Caenorhabditis elegans: one gene and its partner. The protein of the gene in region 1 purifies or fractionates together with the protein of each later gene. This does not show direct contact. Each region holds a gene or a part of one and is shown on either strand. Other genes may lie near its edges.

Region 1 (8,114 bases):
AGATAATCCTAAAAAAATACTGAAATGTTCTGCATTTAGGATAAGCTCTAAAATCGCAAATTGGGGTATCGTATCATGCTTAAAAGCTTGAATTTTTATTAAACAAATTAAGCATGTAATTTTCATTGAATTCTTCTTATTTAAGCCTGTTTCGTTCTAAATCTTAAATTACATTTGTAACATTTGAGTTCACAACCTCGTGAGCGTCTTTTTTTGAATTCGCGCTAGTTTTATGGATTTTCCGAGAGGAGTTCACAGCTTTGCCAACACGATCGTGGCGGGACCTGCGCCCCAAGGCTTTTGAGTTTTATCCATTTTAAATTAATTTTCCTTGCATTTCTCCAGTTATTTTTCATCAATAAGTGATAAGAAAGCCGTTTTTACGATAAATGTAGTTGATAATCTATTTCAGACGCTAGAAAGTCCTTTTTTTTCTTCCGGATTTACAATGTTAAGCCCGGTTTTGAATAACTTGAATTACTGCCGCTCGACTTAATTTTCCATAACTACAATTTTACGTTAACGTCGCCCCATTTTTTCTTGAAAAATAATCACATTTCCTTTTGATTTTTTCCTTGCGTGTTAACCTCTCTCGTTTATCAATTTCTATCGAAGTTTTCACTCATTTCGCTCGAAATTGCCGTCTCGTTCACTCGCAAGACCGATTGTTCTTTGAATACACCAAAGAGTTCGTTAGTTTGATGGTTTTTATTTCAATATTAACAACATCTACGATTATCATTAATTTTAAAAAAAATCTGAGTTTTCAGCAAAATCAATTATTGTTTAGTTGAAAAATGGTTTGAAATTGAAATTAAAATTAATTCTAAACTGGTATTGCATTGTTCGCATATTATCGATTTTTGCTTTTTACAAGCTCTTCAAGCAATCACGGCTCTAATAGTTTTTTTCCAAATAATTTAATTTGATAATTTCAGCTATGGGAGTCCCGAAAACACAACAAAGTGCTCAGCCAGCTACTCAATCAGCGGGGCCTACGGAAACTTTGGCTCGTGGAATTCGTGCCATCTTCATTGGGCCACCAGGATCCGGCAAAGGAACTCAAGCTCCCGCTTTCGCTCAGAAATATTTCTCGTGTCATTTGGCAACTGGTAGGTTTTCAAGTCAAGGAATTTTTTATTCGGAAAAAAAATGTTTTTCGTAGAAATAACTCCAGACTAATGAGTTTTTTCTTACAAAATAGATATTTGATGAATTTTTCAAAATTTTAGGAGATCTGCTCCGTGCTGAAGTTGCCTCTGGCTCCGAGTTTGGAAAGGAGCTGAAAGCAACAATGGATGCTGGAAAGTTAGTCAGTGACGAGGTGGTCTGCAAACTTATCGAGCAAAAGCTGGAGAAACCGGAATGCAAGTACGGATTCATTTTGGATGGTTTCCCTCGCACCAGTGGACAAGCGGAGAAGGTGGGTAAAATTAATTTATTAAAGAAGACAACGTGTCTCATTCTTATTAATATTTTCTATGAAAGTTAGATGAGTTCTCTTGAAAATATTTGCCTATAAAATCTAAAATGCATTATTTCAGCTTGATGAGATCCTCGAACGTCGGAAGACACCTTTGGATACTGTCGTCGAGTTCAACATTGCCGATGATTTGCTTGTTCGCCGTATCACTGGTCGTCTGTTCCATATTGCTTCCGGAAGAAGCTACCATTTGGAATTCAAGCCACCAAAGGTTCCAATGAAGGACGATCTCACTGGAGAGCCACTGATTCGCCGTTCTGATGATAACGAGGAGACTCTTAGAAAGAGACTTGTACAATATCACCAAATGGTATGTAGTTGTTGCATTTTGAATTGTATTTTCAAATTGATCCAAGAGAACGAATATAACCAATACTTTTCAGACCGTTCCTCTCGTCGACTATTACAAAAAACACGGAGTTCATGTGGCCGTTGATGCCGCAAAGCCAATGACTGACGTGAAGGCTCATATTGATCAAGTCTTCGCCAAATTTACCCAGAAGAAGGTACAGAATTGAACTATTTATTGAAGATCTTAGAAATGAAGAAAATTGGAATATGATCATAGGCGTTTCTTTACACTACTCGGAATTTAGATCCGCTGTTTTTTTGGGCTTCCCACTTTCCGTCCATCCTTTTGCCACCTTCCTCCCACCTTTTTGCCTCCTAGCTATCGCCATTTGTTTCCTTCCGGCAAAAAGGTGGGAGAAAAGGGGCACTAAATGCCGAGTATGTGATTCATTATTCCAAAAGTTTTAAAAACACCAGAAAATTTTCAGGAACGCGTCTCATTCGTCTAATGGCTCATTAAATGCTCCCAATGATAGGAATCCAATGAAATAGTCACAATTTTCTCTTAGTATTTAAACATTTTCTCAGTTACTGTCACATTTCATTGTTTTTTTTTCTAAATTTCACTTTTCAGTAGTTCTTTTAGACGTGTTTTCCCACCGTTTCCTGTGTTTTCCTCATCGTAATTGCCTATTTTCCTTCCCAGTGTTTTATTTCAATTGTTCAATGTTAGCTAAATCCCACGTCATTCCTATACCAAAAAGTTTTTTAAATGAATTTCTTTCGAATTTAATTTTCTTAAAAGTTTTGAATGAAAAACAGGATAATAAAAAAGATAATAATTTACTGTGGCTTCGTTTAGTGTCTCTTGGCCTTTCTGTAACCTCCATTTTGGGAAGCTGCTGGTGGCTCGTGAACACTTTCGGTCTTTGAGTCGCGACGAGCCGGGCATGGGCAATAGTTGGCGTCTTTTCCTGAAAAAATATAAAATTTCAGTAGATCTTATTGGTTTCTAGAAATAGAATTGAGCTTTTGAAATAATTAATTTTCTTCAGATTATAAAAAATAACTAACCAACAGCTCCTGGCTCTCCAGCCTTTCCTGGTTGTCCTGGATAAGCATCTCTTCCATTTGATCCTGGTGTTCCTGGTGCTCCCTTTGGTCCTTCTTCTCCATCTTGTCCTGGTTCTCCGTGTTTTCCTGGAAGTCCTGGTTGTCCCAACCATCCTGGCTCTCCTGGTTGTCCAACAGCTCCTGGGAAGTATGCAGTTCCTGGCATGCCATCTGGTCCATCGGCTCCATCGAATCCTTTTGGTCCTTGGGCTCCCTTATCTCCAAGTGGTCCAGCTGGTCCTGGTTGTCCATCATCTCCCGATGGTCCACATGTTCCAACAACTCCTGGGAATCCTTGTGGTCCAACTGGTCCTTGTTGTCCTGGTGGTCCAGCTGGTCCGGCTGGGCAGTTGATGCATCCTCCTGGAATGTGATGAACAGCTGCAAGTGAGATTCCAGATGCTCCAGAACGTCCAAGATCTCCAACAACTCCTTCATCTCCACGCTTTCCTGGAAGTCCTGGTGGTCCTGGTGGTCCAGCTGGGCATCCTTGAGAGTTACTGTCACAATTGCACATTCCTGGATAGACGAATCTCTTTGAACGGAAGATCGATGGCATCACATTTTCAGTTTCTCCAGTTGGGGATTGAAGAACAAGAAGACGTTGCCACGTGTCATCAGCTAATACTTTGAATTCATCAACACGTCCTTCAACTTCATCACGCAGAGAATTAATATCTCTAACAATATGACTAATTGAGAAAAGAGATGAAAGAACTCCAAGAAGACAAATTGAAGCACCAATATAACCAATAGTCGACATGATTTTGAATCAGAATTCGCTGATTCCAAATGGAATTCAAATTCAGATAAATGCAATTACCCTCACATATCCTTTTTATACTCATTCTCTCGTAAACGCCCTTTGGCGGCGGCAAAAACTCGCCGAAAAACTTGATCCGATCGAAGAAAAAACCGAAAAAAAATTCGAATTGTTGTGTTGTTCGTCAGTTGGATGGAATGATGATGAAGGAAGTTGATTAATGGATATGACTGATGATTAGTGGTGGAATATGGAATAATTATTTATTTGATTTATTCTGATTATTCTGAATTAGAATGTATTTTCATATTTCAGGAAAAATGATTTTATTTCGAAACGAACTTGTTCTAGATTAAAAAAATTGAAATTTAATATTTAGTGCTATACAATTACAGTACCCCATGGAAATACACAAATATCATAAATACAAGAATTATCTTCCTGGAAGTTAAACTTATATTTTCGATGTAAGTGAAAAAGTTTAAAAGAGAAATGATGTTTGTTGATCTTCCTGTAAGTGGAAACTGGAGAATTCATAAGCTTAAAAATTCCAAAATATTAAAACTTGCGTGTTTTTTCTGAAAATCGATTAAAACAGCAATATTCAGCATGTTTCCAGAGCCAAAAAAACCTGCAAGCATGGGATACTTTTGCAGTTAAAAAATGTTTCAGGAACTTGAATGAAGTTAGGATGCATTTGAACAGAGTAATGAAATTATATGAAATTCATATGTAGACTCTCCTACTCAGTTGTTTGTATGTGAGTTTTGTATATTATAACTTATTTTGAAATTATCTTTAATTACTTGTAATGTTTTTTGTATGAGTTAAATAATAATCTTTTGAAAATTCTTTTTCAAATAACCATTTTCTGTTTAAAAAAACAGTGAGCCCAATATAAACTTGTTTTCCATCAAACCGAGCTTCTACCAAAGTTAACTTAAATTCCATAATTTTCACAAACCATTCATAGTTTGTCTACGTAGCCTTATCCTTTTTTGAACATTGAAAAAGTGAGGAGAAAGTGCGAAAAACGAGTTTTTTTCTTTCTCTTCTTCTTGGTCGTCACGTCAAGACACTCTGAACGTTGGAATGGGAAAAGCATCGAAGATCGAAAAATTCTGATTTTTTCTAAAGTACACAACTTATATTGATATTGCATTGGGATTTAAAAAAGCTCTACTCGAACATTTTGATTAATTTTAATATCTCATTTATTCATCTTTCGATAACAGATATATCACATTGTTCGGTAGGATAAAAGGGCTAAAATCAAGTTTTGAGGAATGTTCATTTGTTTGGAAGGTGATATTATAGTCTGCGATAACTACATAAGTTTGGAAACCGAACACATGTTTTTTTGGCACTTTGCTAAAAAGTTGTCTGAAAACGTTGGAAATCAATATTTGGTCATTTATTTAGGTCATTTTCGGACCATTATAAGTGTTTTCTAATACAAAACTGGCGCTGCTCCGCTATTTAAAAGACTGAAAGTGACATAAATGATCTAATTTCCAGATCTCTTATAACTTTTTTTATAGCGGTTCCACTCCTAATTTGATGTGTTTACTTGTTGCATCAGATCATTTTTCACTTCTTGTAATTCTTATCAGTTTTCTATATTTTCTTTCTTATCAATTTTTCAGCTTTTCAACATTTTCCAGTTAGTTATTCAATTTTTATTCCGCACGATCACTGCTGTTTGAATTCAAATATTGGAGTATTAAAATTATACATTTATAACCATTCTAATGTCTACCTTCTACACAAATTACCCTTCCTAGTAGAAAATATATTTTTGGCTTGAAATTTGTTCTGTACTGTCCAAATGTATTTTTCTGTAGAAAAATTCAAAATGTAGATGTTTATAGATGGTTTTAACCGGAGTAACATCAAAAGCAATTCGAAAAGGAGATGCGGAACCTCCGCTATCAAAGGGATCTTTTCGTGTCTACAACATGAGATTCTGTCCATGGGCTGAAAGAGCAATGCTTTATGTTGCAGCTAAAGGAATTGAGTGAGTAGTTTATTTATTTTATTAGTTTCTAAAATAGACATATGAAAAGTACTTTTTTAAGAAAAAAACCATTGAATTTTCAGAGCGGAGGTAGTCAATCTCAACGTAACTGACAAACTTGAATGGTACTGGACAAAACATTATCAGGGAAAGGCTCCAGCAGTAGAGCACAATGGAAAAGTGGTCATTGAGTCTGGATTTATTCCTGAATATTTGGATGATGCATTTCCAGAAACTCGTATTCTTCCAACTGACCCGTACGAAAAGGTGCAACAAAAGCTGCTAGCGGACAGGTTAACTGCGGTTTGGTTTTATTTTGTTTTTCAAAAGAAATAAAAAGTGTTATATATAAAAACAATAAACATGGTTTAAGACTAATGCAATGGCAATTATTTACCATTAGTTTCCTTCTATCCTAATTTTGGAAGTCGTCCAAAAAATGATTGTTTTATACGAGTTCTAAATTTCACTTTCCGAAATGCTCGAAATTACTAAAAGCACATTATTCGAAATTTGCCAATTTACCAGAACTTTAACTAAAACTTTTAAAATAAAAAAAAAGATCTGCACGTCTCTACAGTTGTTTTGAAGGCGCAGCGATACCAATACCTTTAAAAATGGAAGGAAACATACATAGTTTCTAATCCCCTTTTTGAACTTCCTCTAATATAAAAAATCAGTTATTCGCTCCGCCCATTTTTCAACCAATCAGATGAGTGTTTGGAGTCCAAAACTCTGATTGGTTTGAGAGTGGGCGTGGCTATTCATTTTGGAGGAAATTCAAATATGATCTTGAATTTTTCTATTTTCTAAACTATTTTGTTTTAAATAAGCAATTCAGGTAGCCCATGCAGTTCCATTGCTCTTCGCCGTCATGCGAGACCGAACTTTGAAAGATGAAAAGCAGCGAAAAGTTTTTGAAGTTTTGAAACAAGCTGAAAATCTCTTGGCCAATGATTTTTATGCTGGTGAGTTCAATTAATCGATACAATTTTTTGACCAAATTCAAACTATTCAGGATCTCAACCAGGTTATCCAGACTACTTATCATTTCCATTTTTTGAGAAAATTTGGTGGTCAGCTAGTTTGGATGGAGTTGTCGATTTACCAACAATTGAATTCCCAGGAGAAGAAGAATATCCTAAATTGACAAAATGGTTCCAGAAAATGATTTCTTCAGATGTTGTTCAATCCGTCACCCAATCTTTGGAACATGGCGCTGCATTCATGAACGCATATGCCACGCACCAGGAATTGAATTATGATTTGGGCCTTTGATATTAAAACCAGTCGATTTATTTTTAAGATTGAATAAAAAATGAAGGACGTAATTAAAAAACAATCAAAGAAATAGTGGTAATTCGTCGGAAAAAAAGTTATTGTACAGTCAGTAAAGTACCATAACGAACAGAAGAAAAATACTTGGCATCTAGAAGTTAATTAATTGATACAGTAAAATGAAAGTATAGCCAGAAATCGAGATACAAGTAGAGACAATGAGGAATGTTTAAATAAATTAAGATGGTTTTCGGGAGATTTAATGCAAAAAAAACAATAATTATAAATTAGGCATCAAGAGCGCCAGCCTCCTTGAACATTTCACAATGCATATCTCTTTTGAGTAGTGTGATTTTCATCGAGTTGATTCTTTCCTCGAGTGGCAGTTCCATGTCCTCGCTGACCATGACATTTCCGACATTACACATAAAGAGGCACGAAAGGAAGTATCGACTGATTTCGTACCATGGACGATCCATAACCAAATCTAGTAAACGTTTCGTGCCACCTTCAATATCGTATTGGCCAATGACAGCACGACCAACTGCGTGAACCTGAAAATTATTATAATTGAGAAATTCAAACATTTAGACATTTTGACTTTTCAAATTACTGTGGTTGACCAGAATATTAAAGGTGGAGTAGCGCCAGTGGGGAAATTGTTAAAAACCACTCCTTTGGTTCCAAAATGACCAAATATCATGATAAAACTTTTGAAAATTTTTTTATTTACTGTCAAAAACTGGCAATTACTCAGTTTTTGCCACTCATATGTTTGGAAGTCGACCAAAAAAATTTATTACATTTTTTATTGTTTTAATTTTGTTTAAATTAATTGTATTAAAACATTGTAGGGGTCGAAACATACGACATTTCTTTAAATAACCTCAAAAGCTCATATTTTTCAAAATTTTGGCAATTTGCCAAAACTTTGACCGGAAATTATGAAAAATCTAAAACTTTTTGGAGTGTTTTATTATGATATTCGGTTGTTTTGAATCACTATAAGTGTATTTAGACAAAATCCCCACTGGCACTACTCCACCTTTAAGATTAAATACTCTAAAACATACATCATACTCTTTTCGAGTTTCTCCTTCTTCGAGGATTGGTTCCATTCGAGAATGCCATTTGTCAACATGTTCTTGTAGAGTTGACACGGCAACATC
Region 2 (11,520 bases), on another chromosome or scaffold:
GCAATTTTTTCCTGCGGAGATATGGAGTCTCAAAGACAAGGTGTTTTGCCAATATCGATTTGGTAAAACGTCTTGATACGGCATCAGAATCAGTGATTCGGTCATTGAAAACAATGAAAAATAAGTTATTTGTGACACTCTACAATATTTCATACATTTTTGAAAAAATTTAAAAAAAATTTTTGGATCAAATTTTCTCATGGGTTTGGTGGAGAAAAAAGTGGCAATTTTCGAAAAAATTAAAATTTCTGAAAAGTTTCCAGGGTAATTGTGGTTCAATCAAAAAGCAAAAAAGTAATGTAAAAACCTCAGAAAACTGTTTTAAACATTTGTTTCCCGTTCTAAAAATTTTGTATAAAAAAAGGCCAAAATTTAAACCATGTGTGGGAACCGAACGCACAATCTTCTGCTCAAGAGGCGAATGCGTTCACCACTCGACCACCGAAGCGATGTTTTCCCCCGTCCACCATTGTGGTGAGATTTCTGTTGGCGCCAGAGACAAAATCCACTGTTAACCATAGGAAATGCACTGATTTCAGTACTACATTTTCAGATGAAAATTTCCAAACTCAAAGAGGTCTTCCGCCGAAACAAATTACAGATTCTGAAAGCCTAAGATGCCAGCTATCGGATGACACGTTTACTTTTACCCGATCGCACCGTATAGTTAAAATACTCCCTAGTCAGTTTACAGTGGTCCTCAATATTTTCGACAATTGTAATAAGGTTTTTCGGAATAGTGAAAGGATATACACGTAAAGCATTAATATAAAAAAGGGTTTGCCAATTAAAAAATGTGGGAAATTCAATATTCACAAAATAAAGAATACGTGAACAATGCATGCAACTCCACGTTGAACCATTTAACCTTTCAAATTAAAAAATAGATGAAGCAAAACAGCAAGTGAATCAGTTCTCAGTTTTCAAAAACTACAACTTCGGAGTAATGGAAAAAGAGAAAAGTAAGACGGAGAGTTTGAAGAAGGACGAAATCGATGAGGCAAACTCAGAATCTTCAAAAGTGCCACTAACAATTGATCCAGAGGTAAGATATTTTTGCATTGCTTCCAAAATAGTAGCAAGGTAAAAAAAACAGCAGCAAATTTCAGGAAGCCAAACTCCCAAATGCCGGCGGAAAATCGGAGCATATGGTGGTCAACTTCACTTCAAAACGCATGGCGATCAAAGTGAGATGTGGCAATGCACTATTTCGTGTTGAGCCAACTCACATGATCATCGAGCCGAACAAGTGCCGCCAACTGACAATCAATCGGATGCCCGGACCAATTCAAAAGGATAAAGCGATCGTTCAATACCTCCAAATTGAAAATGATGTGCAAGATCCGAAGGCTGCGTTCAAAGCAGCGGACAGTGCTGGAACTAAGATTCCACACTTGAAGATCAAGCTGGTGGCCGGAGCAAGTGGAGGTCGTCAGATGTCGAGAGAGGTGGTGGATGAGTAGTTTGGGAAAAAAACAGGATATAATAGATCTCATTTTGATATTATAATAAATTGTTTGGTATAGATTTTAGGCGGCTACTTTTGTAAGGAACGCCATTAGCTTAATTGTGCACTTCTATCAGACATCGCTCGAGTTTTTCATATTAACACCATATTGCACTTTTTCATTAAGCTAGTATTCTATTGATTCCAGCAAACAATTTCCAACTCGACTGACTTGTTCATTCGTTGGAACAATGTCTTCTCCACAGTAAACATGGCATTTTGTGTCTCATTTCAATACTGTATCATGACTTTCTGCAGCTACCAATTGTATCACGATATGGAAGAGAAACTAAGCCTCTTATCGGGAGAAGTTCGAAAATTGCATCTCCAAATATTCAAAACTCTGTTGCTTCAGGTAGCTTCTATTTTTTAAAATCTGAAATTTAGTATGCCTACTGGAATATTTTTGGGTATATTCGCGCTTTATCCAGCATTAGACGCATGTATTCTGATGTACGTCATCACAGACTACAGAAGAGCCTTAAAAGGTATACTAGAACTGAAAATCTTGTTAAATGTTTTTTTTTCAGATGTTCTGAAGTTTTTCAATCCGATAAACAGGACAGCTGCTGACAACGTCTCTGTAGCTCCTCATCTTTCTACAAATAATTTTACAATCTGACAAATAACTCATGGAACCTAAGTTCTGAATTTGTATTTGGCTGCTTCAATTTGTTTTCTATTTTCTTGATTGCTCTTAATAAATCTTGAATAAATTCTCGTTTTCAAATAGATAGCAAAATTCAAGCAGAAAAAATTCTGAAAATAATATTTATGCATGTACAGTTACGATCTTCTCGTGGAGAAACTGTGTTCATGTTTTAATTTCCATAATGAGTGGACCACATAGCTAGAAAAAACTGGGCCTAAAGATGTGCCTGCAACAACTGCAGTAATATCAATAAACAACTGCAGTAATATCAATAAACAACTGCAGTAATATCAATAAAGAATCTTTATTTCTCATCTTTCAGAACACTAATCGGAGTTTCACTAATATCTTTGACAATATCTCGTTTGAGCATAAACTTTATGAATTCTTCTTCAGTGAACAGTGTGTACATCTTGTCCGGATCAGATTTGTAGACGCTCAAGTTTATCTGAAAAAAATTGTTTCACAGTTAAACGGTCAAAATACAAACCTTTCCATCGTGAATCAAAAACAAAGGTCCAAGATTTGCATGGTTGTATGGGTGAGATCCAACATTGAAGAGCTCCTTTCTTGGAAAAACTTCCATCATGACACCACCGTGGATTGCGACAAGTGAATTCAATTTCAGCACTGAAAAATTATAAAATGACCTTCAAAGGATTGAATCGAAATTGCTCACAATTCTTGCATTCCACCATGACAACCGCTGAGTATACTCCATACAAATATGGAATGGCTCCTTTTGCCATGGCTTCACTCCATTGAAGAACTGTATTGTAATATGATCCCTTGTATTTAACTTTTTCCACCAAATATTTTGAATCCTGTTCGATAACTGTCTCATTTTCCAAACAATCCACCATCCACTGTTCTTTGACAATAATCGCACCATTGAATACCCAAAGTAGTAGATCGAGACTATCAGTTTCCAGAGCTCCGTTCTCATCTGTCTTCACAATGACATGTGTAGTGTTTGAATTAGCTTCATCAGATGTCTGAAATATGATTTAAATAAGAAGTTTTTGGTGCAAAGAATAACTCACAATAGCTTGAAACTTCTCCATAAATTGGTTGGTTATGTTGATGTCGGTTCTTTCGTCTATCCAAATATGAAATGATGTGGTTGGAAACTTCTGTGGAACATCTCAAAATTTTCAATTTTATTTAGCTTATCACAAGACATTTGATGCTTACTCATTTTGTGCTTCTTCCCATTTGCTTTTTTGTACAATGCTCGAATCTTGTCAAAATTTTCAACCTTGTCCTTTGGAATGTCTTTATATACGAGTGGGATCATCTGCTCCGGAGTTCGATTCATCGTATTCAGCAGTTCCCGATCAGCTCCATTTTTAATGAGAAGCTTTACAATTTCAGGTAGAGCGGACTTGGTTGCAGTGTGCAGAGCGGTATTTCCGAACTCTGAATATAGCTTTTTCGTCTAAATTAGATCTTCTTGAATCTTACTGTTAAATGCATTTATGTAGGATCCTGCCTTTACAGCATTCACCGCATTTGTTTTGTTAATTTCCCGTACTGCATCCAACAAGGTGTTCTTTCCATCCTGATTGTCAAGGAAAAGCTGGAAAATGTTGATTCAAAAAATGTAGATTTAACATGAGAAGCTTACAGAATATCTCCACCTGTTCTCATAATGAACTGGTTTTCCAACATAATATAAATACAAATTTGTATACTTTGACCTTCCATTTTGAGTAAACCCGTAGGCAACAATACAAATGAGACCAATCAATATCATCACACCAATGCAAATAATAATGATGTATATCCAAGAAAGTTGATTATCAACCGCAATTGTAACGATATCAAGCTTCTTGTTGCCAAATATCTCATCAAAATAGGTCATCAAGGAAGAAATTGTGATTTCAGCTCCTTTGAGTATAGCCTCGTGCCGTGCGAAATCTAGATCCAAGTTTTTTATAGACTCGAAATACTTTGCAGCTTCTTGCTTCTCCAGCTTGCTAGACTTCTTCAATAATCCTGAAAGTTCAATGTTTTTTACTCGGTAAGAATTCTAAAAACTATTTTTTTTTCCATTTTAACTACTTACTGAATAGTCTATATAAATCCTTAGGATCTCCACGGATACCATTGATTTTTGAGGCATCATCGAACACTTTGACCATCTCTGATAAATTCCCATTTTTCCTCAACATCTTTGATTTTGCATCAAGAGCATCAATCTTTTGGAGCATTACTTGGAGTTTTTGCTCCGGATCCAGCCATTCACGGAGTCCCATTCCCGAAATTGTCTTCAAAACTTGTACAGGGAAATCTGGGTAATTCGAAAGAAGCTGGTGATTTTGTCGTGCTTCTTCAAGATCTTCTAACACGTGCGCACATGTTCCGAGACTCGCAGTAAAAAGTTCAGGGGTCTTCAATTTCAGAACAAGATTGTGACTGGAATTCGACTGAGATGTGATCAACTTGATTTGTTTTTCCACTTTCCAAAGTTGGTTCTTAACCTGAAATTTATAAATAAAAGCAATGAAGTTATTATTTACTAACCTTGGCTAGCTCATCGAGGTACTGGTTCATTTTCAGCACCGTCTTATTTCCAGCAAACTGTCGAACAGTAATCATTGCTTCAATTACCTCCAATACTCGAAGCGGTTGCATGAACTCTTGACTGCAATTTTTAAATATTTTTTGGGCATAGACATAATAATATTAACCTCAAACATTTCGATATTCCCCTCAATTGTGACGTGTCCAACATTTCGACAAGCAGTTTGTCTATTTTAGTGTCGTTTGGTAAAGATTTATTTGTGATCACTTTAATATTTTTTAAGTTTTGTGAAAGATGTGTCATGAAGTTGTGAAAATCAACCTCCCTTTTATCTATCTGATCAATGATGATTTTGAGACGAGTCTTCACCCTCAACGAATTGGTTTTGTTCACTTTTTGTTTTTCGATTTCATTGCTTAGCTTCTTGTAGTATTCGTCAAAAAACGATTTTATGGTGCGGTTGGGGCGTATGGTTAAGATTGAGTTTATATTGATATACGAGACCTGTTTTCTGATTTGGGCCAAATATTTCATATAATTTGTAGCTGGTGATATAGCTTGTTGAAAGTCTTGAATCATTTCCTGAAGGGAAGAGTTGGGTGTCTCCAAAGAAGTAACAGAAAAATTCGAAAAGCACTCCGATAATTTGTTACTCGCGTTTTGAATAATTGACTCATAATTTGCAAAGTTAAGGGACATTTTCGAAATAACGTCAAGAATAGGTCCTGCTTTTGCAACTTCTGAGGACTCAAAATCCAAGGTGAGAGCAGTGAAATTGTGCCAAGAAGTATCGAGTGAAGTGACGGCTTCCGAAATGTCATGGAATATCTTTAGTGCATGGTTCAGGTCCTTTGTTTTCGATTCTTTAGCAATATTTCTTCTGAACCAAGGGCTACTCAAATCCTTGGAGATTTTAGAGAAATCTCTTGAGCTTCTGAAGCCCGCACTGTATTTTAGAACTGGTTTTGTTGGCGCAATGTGATGTTTAATGATTTCAAACAGAGAACGGTTGAGTTGAGTCATAACCTGGGCATGGTAATTAGGATGTACACTCTTCCATAAAGATTTTGTCGCTTTCAGACTTGAAAGAACCCGGAAAAGCGTTGCATTTGTAGCTCGCAATGAGTCGCTTAATGCATCAAATTTTGCAACCAACCGTATAATATCTTCCCATTTTCTAATCATTTCAAGTCCACCCCATATCGGTAAAGCATCAAGCTCAGCCTGCAACTGTGGGAAATAGTTTAGGCAGTCGGAAAAATTTGGTTTGTTAGCGACAAATGTATCAGCGAAGCCCGGGAAATCATTTGTGGCGTATTCCGACAATTCGTTGTTGATAGAGTCCCAAAAACTTTTGAAATTATCCGTATCCACTTGTGAGCAACTACTCCTGAACATCGAGTTGTTTGCAATTATTGTCGTTAGATTGTTCATTAGGTTCTTGATAGGGTACTTGATGGCATCCAAGAAGGTAGACGTTTGTTGAGAAAAGAGTGATAGAAACTTCAAATTGTTTTTCAAATCGGTCATGTTATCACCAACCAGACTATTCGTATCATTTTGAAGCAATAGAGACAACTTCTCGAATTCTTCACCCATTCTATTCAACTCCGTACGTGCCACTTTGATGTCGACATCTATGATGTTGTTGAACTGGTCTCTTGGCATCCGAATCAGCTCTACCAGTAGATCACGAACTTTGATATTCTTCCTGATAGCACCTGCTTGGAGGGAAATCGCATTGGTCACACGAGATAGGATACGGAAGTCTTCGCTGATGAGTTGGAGATTTGACGGGGCTGAAAAATGGTTTCCGTTGTGGAAGAGATACATGTAGGCGAGTAGGCAGGCATGTAGGTGTGGGTAAAGACTGTGGAAAATTCAAAACTAACAGCCACGTGTGTTAATGACACTTTTCACTCATTATTCTGAATTTTCACGTAAGTTCTTCTACTTTTAGTATTTTATATTTCGTTTTTTTGCTACATGGATTTCGTATTTACATGTTGGCTTTTTTTCAAATTAAAGCAATGCAAGAAGACACTCTTAAGATAAAAATCGACTCTTTCAAAAATGAACAAAGTATTAGTTTATAAACCCTTAATAATAGTTTACGCGCGAGCTATTTCCCTCTTCCAACTCACCACTTCCGGCTGTAACTAGAAATGCTCCTAGAATTCCGATGCCAAAATAATAAGTAATCATAAGTCCACAATTGCAATACTTTTTATCTGAAATACTGCCGTTACAGCCTGAAAGTATGAAAAACGACTTACCGAAAGATGCTTATTTTTAAAGACTGTAGACAATGAATAGATTTTGCGAGAAGATATGGTCTTCCGCCTGAGCAATGATTGATTTGAGCAGATTTGATTATCAGATAAAAATGTTGAAACAAACGAATTGGAGGTTCACGTAATAAAAATAAATCGAAATTTGTTTTATGTTGTTCATGCATTTTTCTTTTTGTTTTTCAATAAACTTTTTGAATATAATAGTTTTCCTTTTTTGAAGGTTTTGGTTTTCATTGGTTTTTAATTATTAAAAATTAACGAAAATACAGAGTAAGGGAAATGTTGAAATCAATTACATGAATAGATTAATTGCTGGTTTTATGATCTTGTAGATGGTGGTGGTAGATTAGAAATAGCTCTTCTGTCATCACACTTCACAGCAATAGACTCCAATGGGCTCACTTTCCGGAGAACTTTATTTTTCATTGGGGACAGTCGATTGTTGAACATCATCATAATGAATCTAAATTCATATTCATTACTAACTCGAATTTCAGCTACATGTGAAAATTTTTTGGAACCTGTAGCGGCTCAGATTCTGTAGAACAATTTTTGAAAAATACCTAACAGACCCATAAAATGCCAGCCGCGTCAACATTTTCCATATGTTGATTTAAAAAAATACAGTGAATGTGTACGAAAATTTGAAAACCCACGGCTCGCAGGTAATGTAAACGCTTGAAAGCTTGACTTTTTGCTTGACGCCTTAAAAATGTTTCAAAAAAAAAAGTTTTACATATATAATAGTTCGGAAAAACTACTTTAAAAAATGTTCTTGAAAGCTTGAAAAGCTTGAAAATCTGATCTTGTGCCCGATTTACACTGCTGATCGTAATACATTGTGCCCGATCTACGAATTAACTGTGTCTGAATCCACTCACCCATCAAGAACATGAACGAATTGCAACACAAATGTTTGGCAGAAGAATGTCCAGATTCTATGATCAAAAAGGTTACTGGAATTGAAGTTATATTTTGAGTTGAAGCTGAAATTGTTCCAGTGACTTACTCGAGCTGAGAAAACAAGACCGTGATTGAAAACAACGAGTCTTGAAGAAAACAAACGAGTCTGAAGAAACTGTAACACATTTTTCCGTGCTTTTCTCCGGTGTTGAGATCCGCGGATTGTCTTTTTCTTCTGAAACATAGAGCCAAATTTGTTTTATAGTTCTAAGAAAATATTCTAAAAACATTCCCTACCATATAATGAAACAGAATGTATGTGACTGCGTTTATTGAAAGTGGGAAAACAATTAAAGCAACAGCCCATAATTGCATATGCTCAGGTGTAGACAAAAGCCCGATATACGCCAAATGCTCATTGGAAAAAAGCATAAAATTTGAATTTTCTGAAATTACAAAAAAATGGTTTTAAACGTAACCATGAAATCAGTACCACTTCTACTCAAGTGTTCCGTAGCCACATTCCAGATGCGGTTTATATAATAAAGAATATGCAATACCAATGTCAGTTTCAAACCCCATAGCCAACTAAATTTTAAAGGAAATAGCATAACGAAAAATCGATTGAAGGATAAGTAGACACTTTGAAATTCGTTGAAAACTAGCATATTCGTACCAAACGTCACAAGAATGCTTTCAACAGCTGGAGAGTAAAATGAGTACCCACTGAAAACAGAAGAAGAAAAAATTAAAACATGAGCAATAAAATCCAATATGATGCCTAATAAGAATGTCTTCCCAATAAAATATCTTCCTGAGAAATTTCGTTTTAATTTAAGAATTCATTTCTGAAAGTTAGAAAAGATGCTTATGATATATGTACCTCTGAAGTTAATTTTGAAAGCCTTCATTTTTATGTTTTTTTTTCCAAATTTTAAATAAAACGTCAAAAAACGTTTGCCTCTTTTTCGAATCATACTCTAAACCCCTAAAAAAACTTACATTAAGCTCTCTGGAACGTACACTCCGAGCATAACCACCAATAAAACATATACGTTATTCGATGCTCGGAAAGCACAAATCATATTGAACACAGTTCGCTCTTTCTTGCAAGTCACAAAATTTTGAATAATGGAAATGTTCAACGGTAGTCCAATTAACGAGTTCTTGAATTTTCATTCATTTTCAATAGAAATTATTTCAAACTTTTACCAGCAACATAAGTACCACAGCCAGGAAATTCGGCCAACTTTTGAAATTGTAGTTGGAGACATCGTTGGTAACTGTCGAGTTCATTGTACGTGTTTCAATAGCAAAAAAACACTAAATTAAGGATCTCGAGATCGAAAAGTCTAATTTTTTTTTAAATAATTGTGTTGACTTGTTTTCGAAAAAAAAGTGATGGTTTACGCATCACCTGATTTCAACTAATCAGTTTCCTAGGATACGATTCCCGATGGGATAGTCAGGAATATAATCTGTCTGAAAACTTTTTTAAAAGCTCATGAATCATATGGTGAGACTTATAATGTTTAATTAATGGAGTATACATTTAAGATGAATACCACTCTTCAAATTATCAAAAATTTTTAGATGGATATTTAAAACATTTCAAAATGTAAAAATTATGATATTGGAGTAGGCGGTGACCAGGTACGAGTTGGCAAAACCTTTCGAGTATCAAATTTTGTAATTGTCTCGATTATATTAATTTTCAGTCTTCTTTTCATTGGGGACAAGCGAGCATTGAACATCATCATGATGAATCTGAAAGCTCGCCGTTTTTTTTAAACAATTATTTGAAACTCTTGTTAGATAGCGAAAATCAGTTTTTTTTCGTCAAATACCGAATTTTCTCCATTAATTTCGCATTCAAGATATAAATGAAAAATTTTAGTTTTTTGATTTTCCAATTTTTCAGTTTTTTAGGTTTTGAATGTTCTGTTTCACTGAAAAGCCAGAAATCAAAAAAAAATGTTGAATATGATCGTAACATAATTTTCAAATCCCATATCAAAAAAAATATGTTTGGGATTTTTTTACATACTTTTTGGAAATCGAAAATATTTGTATTTCTGATTTTCAATTTTCCAGCTTTCCAAAAATATGACCTACCCATCAAGAACATGAATAAATTGCCACACAAATGTAAAGCAGAAGAACGTCCAGAATCGGTGTGCAATAATTGTACTGAATATGAAATTTGAACTGAATATATTCAGAGGCATAGTTTTTCACAAACATAAAATTCCCAAAAATTGAAAACTCACTTCAACTTCAAGCCAAAAGTACTACTTATGAAAAACAATGAGTCTTGAAAAACAGTTTGAAAAAACTGTGCTACATTTTCCCTTGCTTTTCTCCGGTGTTGAGACTCCCGACTTGTCCGCTTTTTCTGAAGCACTAAATAATTTTTAATTCATATTTTACAACTTCCCACCAAATAATAAAAACGAATATATGTTACTGCATTGATAAAAAGTGGAAAGATGATTGACAACACAGACCACTCAAAAAAATAGTCAGGTGCTGCCAACGTGCCACCGTAAGCCAAGTGTTCGGCAGAAAATGATATATGGTTTGAGTTTTCTGAAATCAGATTTTGAAAGTATACAATTCAACTTACCGTATTTCCTCTATTAGTAAGGCATGCAAAACTAATTTTCGGACACCGAGTTTGATGCAAAACTAATGGAGGTGCAAAACTAATTTTCGAACCGGTTTTTTCTCATGTATTCCAGTAAGTTATGGCATAATATCATCAACTTCAATAACAACTTATGAACCAAAATGAACGAATTTTACAACTCAAACGCAAAAATTGTCCGAGTTGTACTCATATTTTGTCAATTTTCACTTGTTATACCAAGTCTGTAAGAGTTTTCCTAATTTTTAGAACGATTTTATTATGCAAATTTTGAATTCCTAAAAAATAGGGAACAAATGAAGGGGTGCAAAACTATTAGAGGTGCCAAACTAATAGAGGCTGCAAAACTAATTTTTGATTAGTGATTTTAGATGCAAAACTAATGGAGGTGCAAAACTAATAGAGGCGCCTAACTAATAGAGGAAATACGGTAATTTCTTTTTTGAAAAAATCATATTTGTACCGATTCTGTCAAGATGTTCAGTGATAACATTCCAGAAACGATTCCCATAACATAAAATATGTAATAGCAATGTAAATTTTATACTCAATAGCCAGTTAAATCGCAATGGAAATAACATTGCGAAAAATCGGTTTATTGAAAGATAGACACTTTGAAATTCGTTATAAACCAATAAATTCATTCCAAATATTATAATAATGCTTTCAACAGAGCGAGGATAAATTGAGAACCCTCTGTAATTAGGCATTTTTGATAATGTTTTAATTGTGTCATTAAATATACATTGGTCGCAAAAAAATATATAGTGGTAATCAATAGTACATATGTATATACATTTTTGGTTTTGGCAAAAAAGTATAACTCAAAAACTAAATACTTTTGAGAAAGACGTTTAACTTTATGAAAAAAAATTACTGTTACATAGAGCAAATAATTGTCTATTTTGTTTATTTTTAATGAACTTTTCAATAATTTTCGGGGATCATTTTTTAAATGTGATCTTTTTGCAATCTCACATCAAACTCTCC

The links.
Region 2: the proteins of col-90 (region 1) and C01G10.1 fractionate together in Caenorhabditis elegans (co-fractionation; one large-scale study listed by BioGRID). This does not show direct contact.

What each region holds. Positions count from the first base shown.
Region 1 is NC_003281.10:7,944,426-7,952,539, reverse strand, and holds col-90 (Putative cuticle collagen 90), read right to left. Parts: upstream 3,703-8,114; 5' UTR 3,651-3,702; coding exon 2,849-3,650; intron 2,749-2,848; coding exon 2,633-2,748; 3' UTR 2,472-2,632; downstream 1-2,471. Other genes in the region: let-754 (Adenylate kinase), read left to right, coding at 941-1,112, 1,233-1,423, 1,545-1,793, 1,867-1,989, 2,263-2,283; gsto-1 (Glutathione transferase omega-1), read left to right, coding at 5,522-5,667, 5,751-5,970, 6,509-6,635, 6,686-6,945; Condensin-2 complex subunit kle-2, read right to left, coding at 7,233-7,499, 8,019-8,114. UniProt on the Caenorhabditis elegans protein: Nematode cuticles are composed largely of collagen-like proteins. The cuticle functions both as an exoskeleton and as a barrier to protect the worm from its environment.
Region 2 is NC_003283.11:15,095,333-15,106,852, reverse strand, and holds C01G10.1 (BRCT domain-containing protein), read right to left. Parts: upstream 7,107-11,520; 5' UTR 6,963-7,106; intron 6,918-6,962; 5' UTR 6,892-6,917; coding exon 6,831-6,891; intron 6,486-6,830; coding exon 4,853-6,485; intron 4,807-4,852; coding exon 4,686-4,806; intron 4,643-4,685; coding exon 4,228-4,642; intron 4,158-4,227; coding exon 3,787-4,157; intron 3,739-3,786; coding exon 3,624-3,738; intron 3,579-3,623; coding exon 3,354-3,578; intron 3,304-3,353; coding exon 3,203-3,303; intron 3,155-3,202; coding exon 2,839-3,154; intron 2,790-2,838; coding exon 2,650-2,789; intron 2,608-2,649; coding exon 2,464-2,607; 3' UTR 2,448-2,463; downstream 1-2,447. Other genes in the region: C01G10.14 (Major sperm protein), read left to right, coding at 947-1,045, 1,110-1,463; srx-78 (7TM GPCR serpentine receptor class x (Srx) domain-containing protein), read right to left, coding at 9,509-9,650, 9,999-10,073, 10,154-10,278, 10,324-10,472, 10,994-11,226, 11,509-11,520.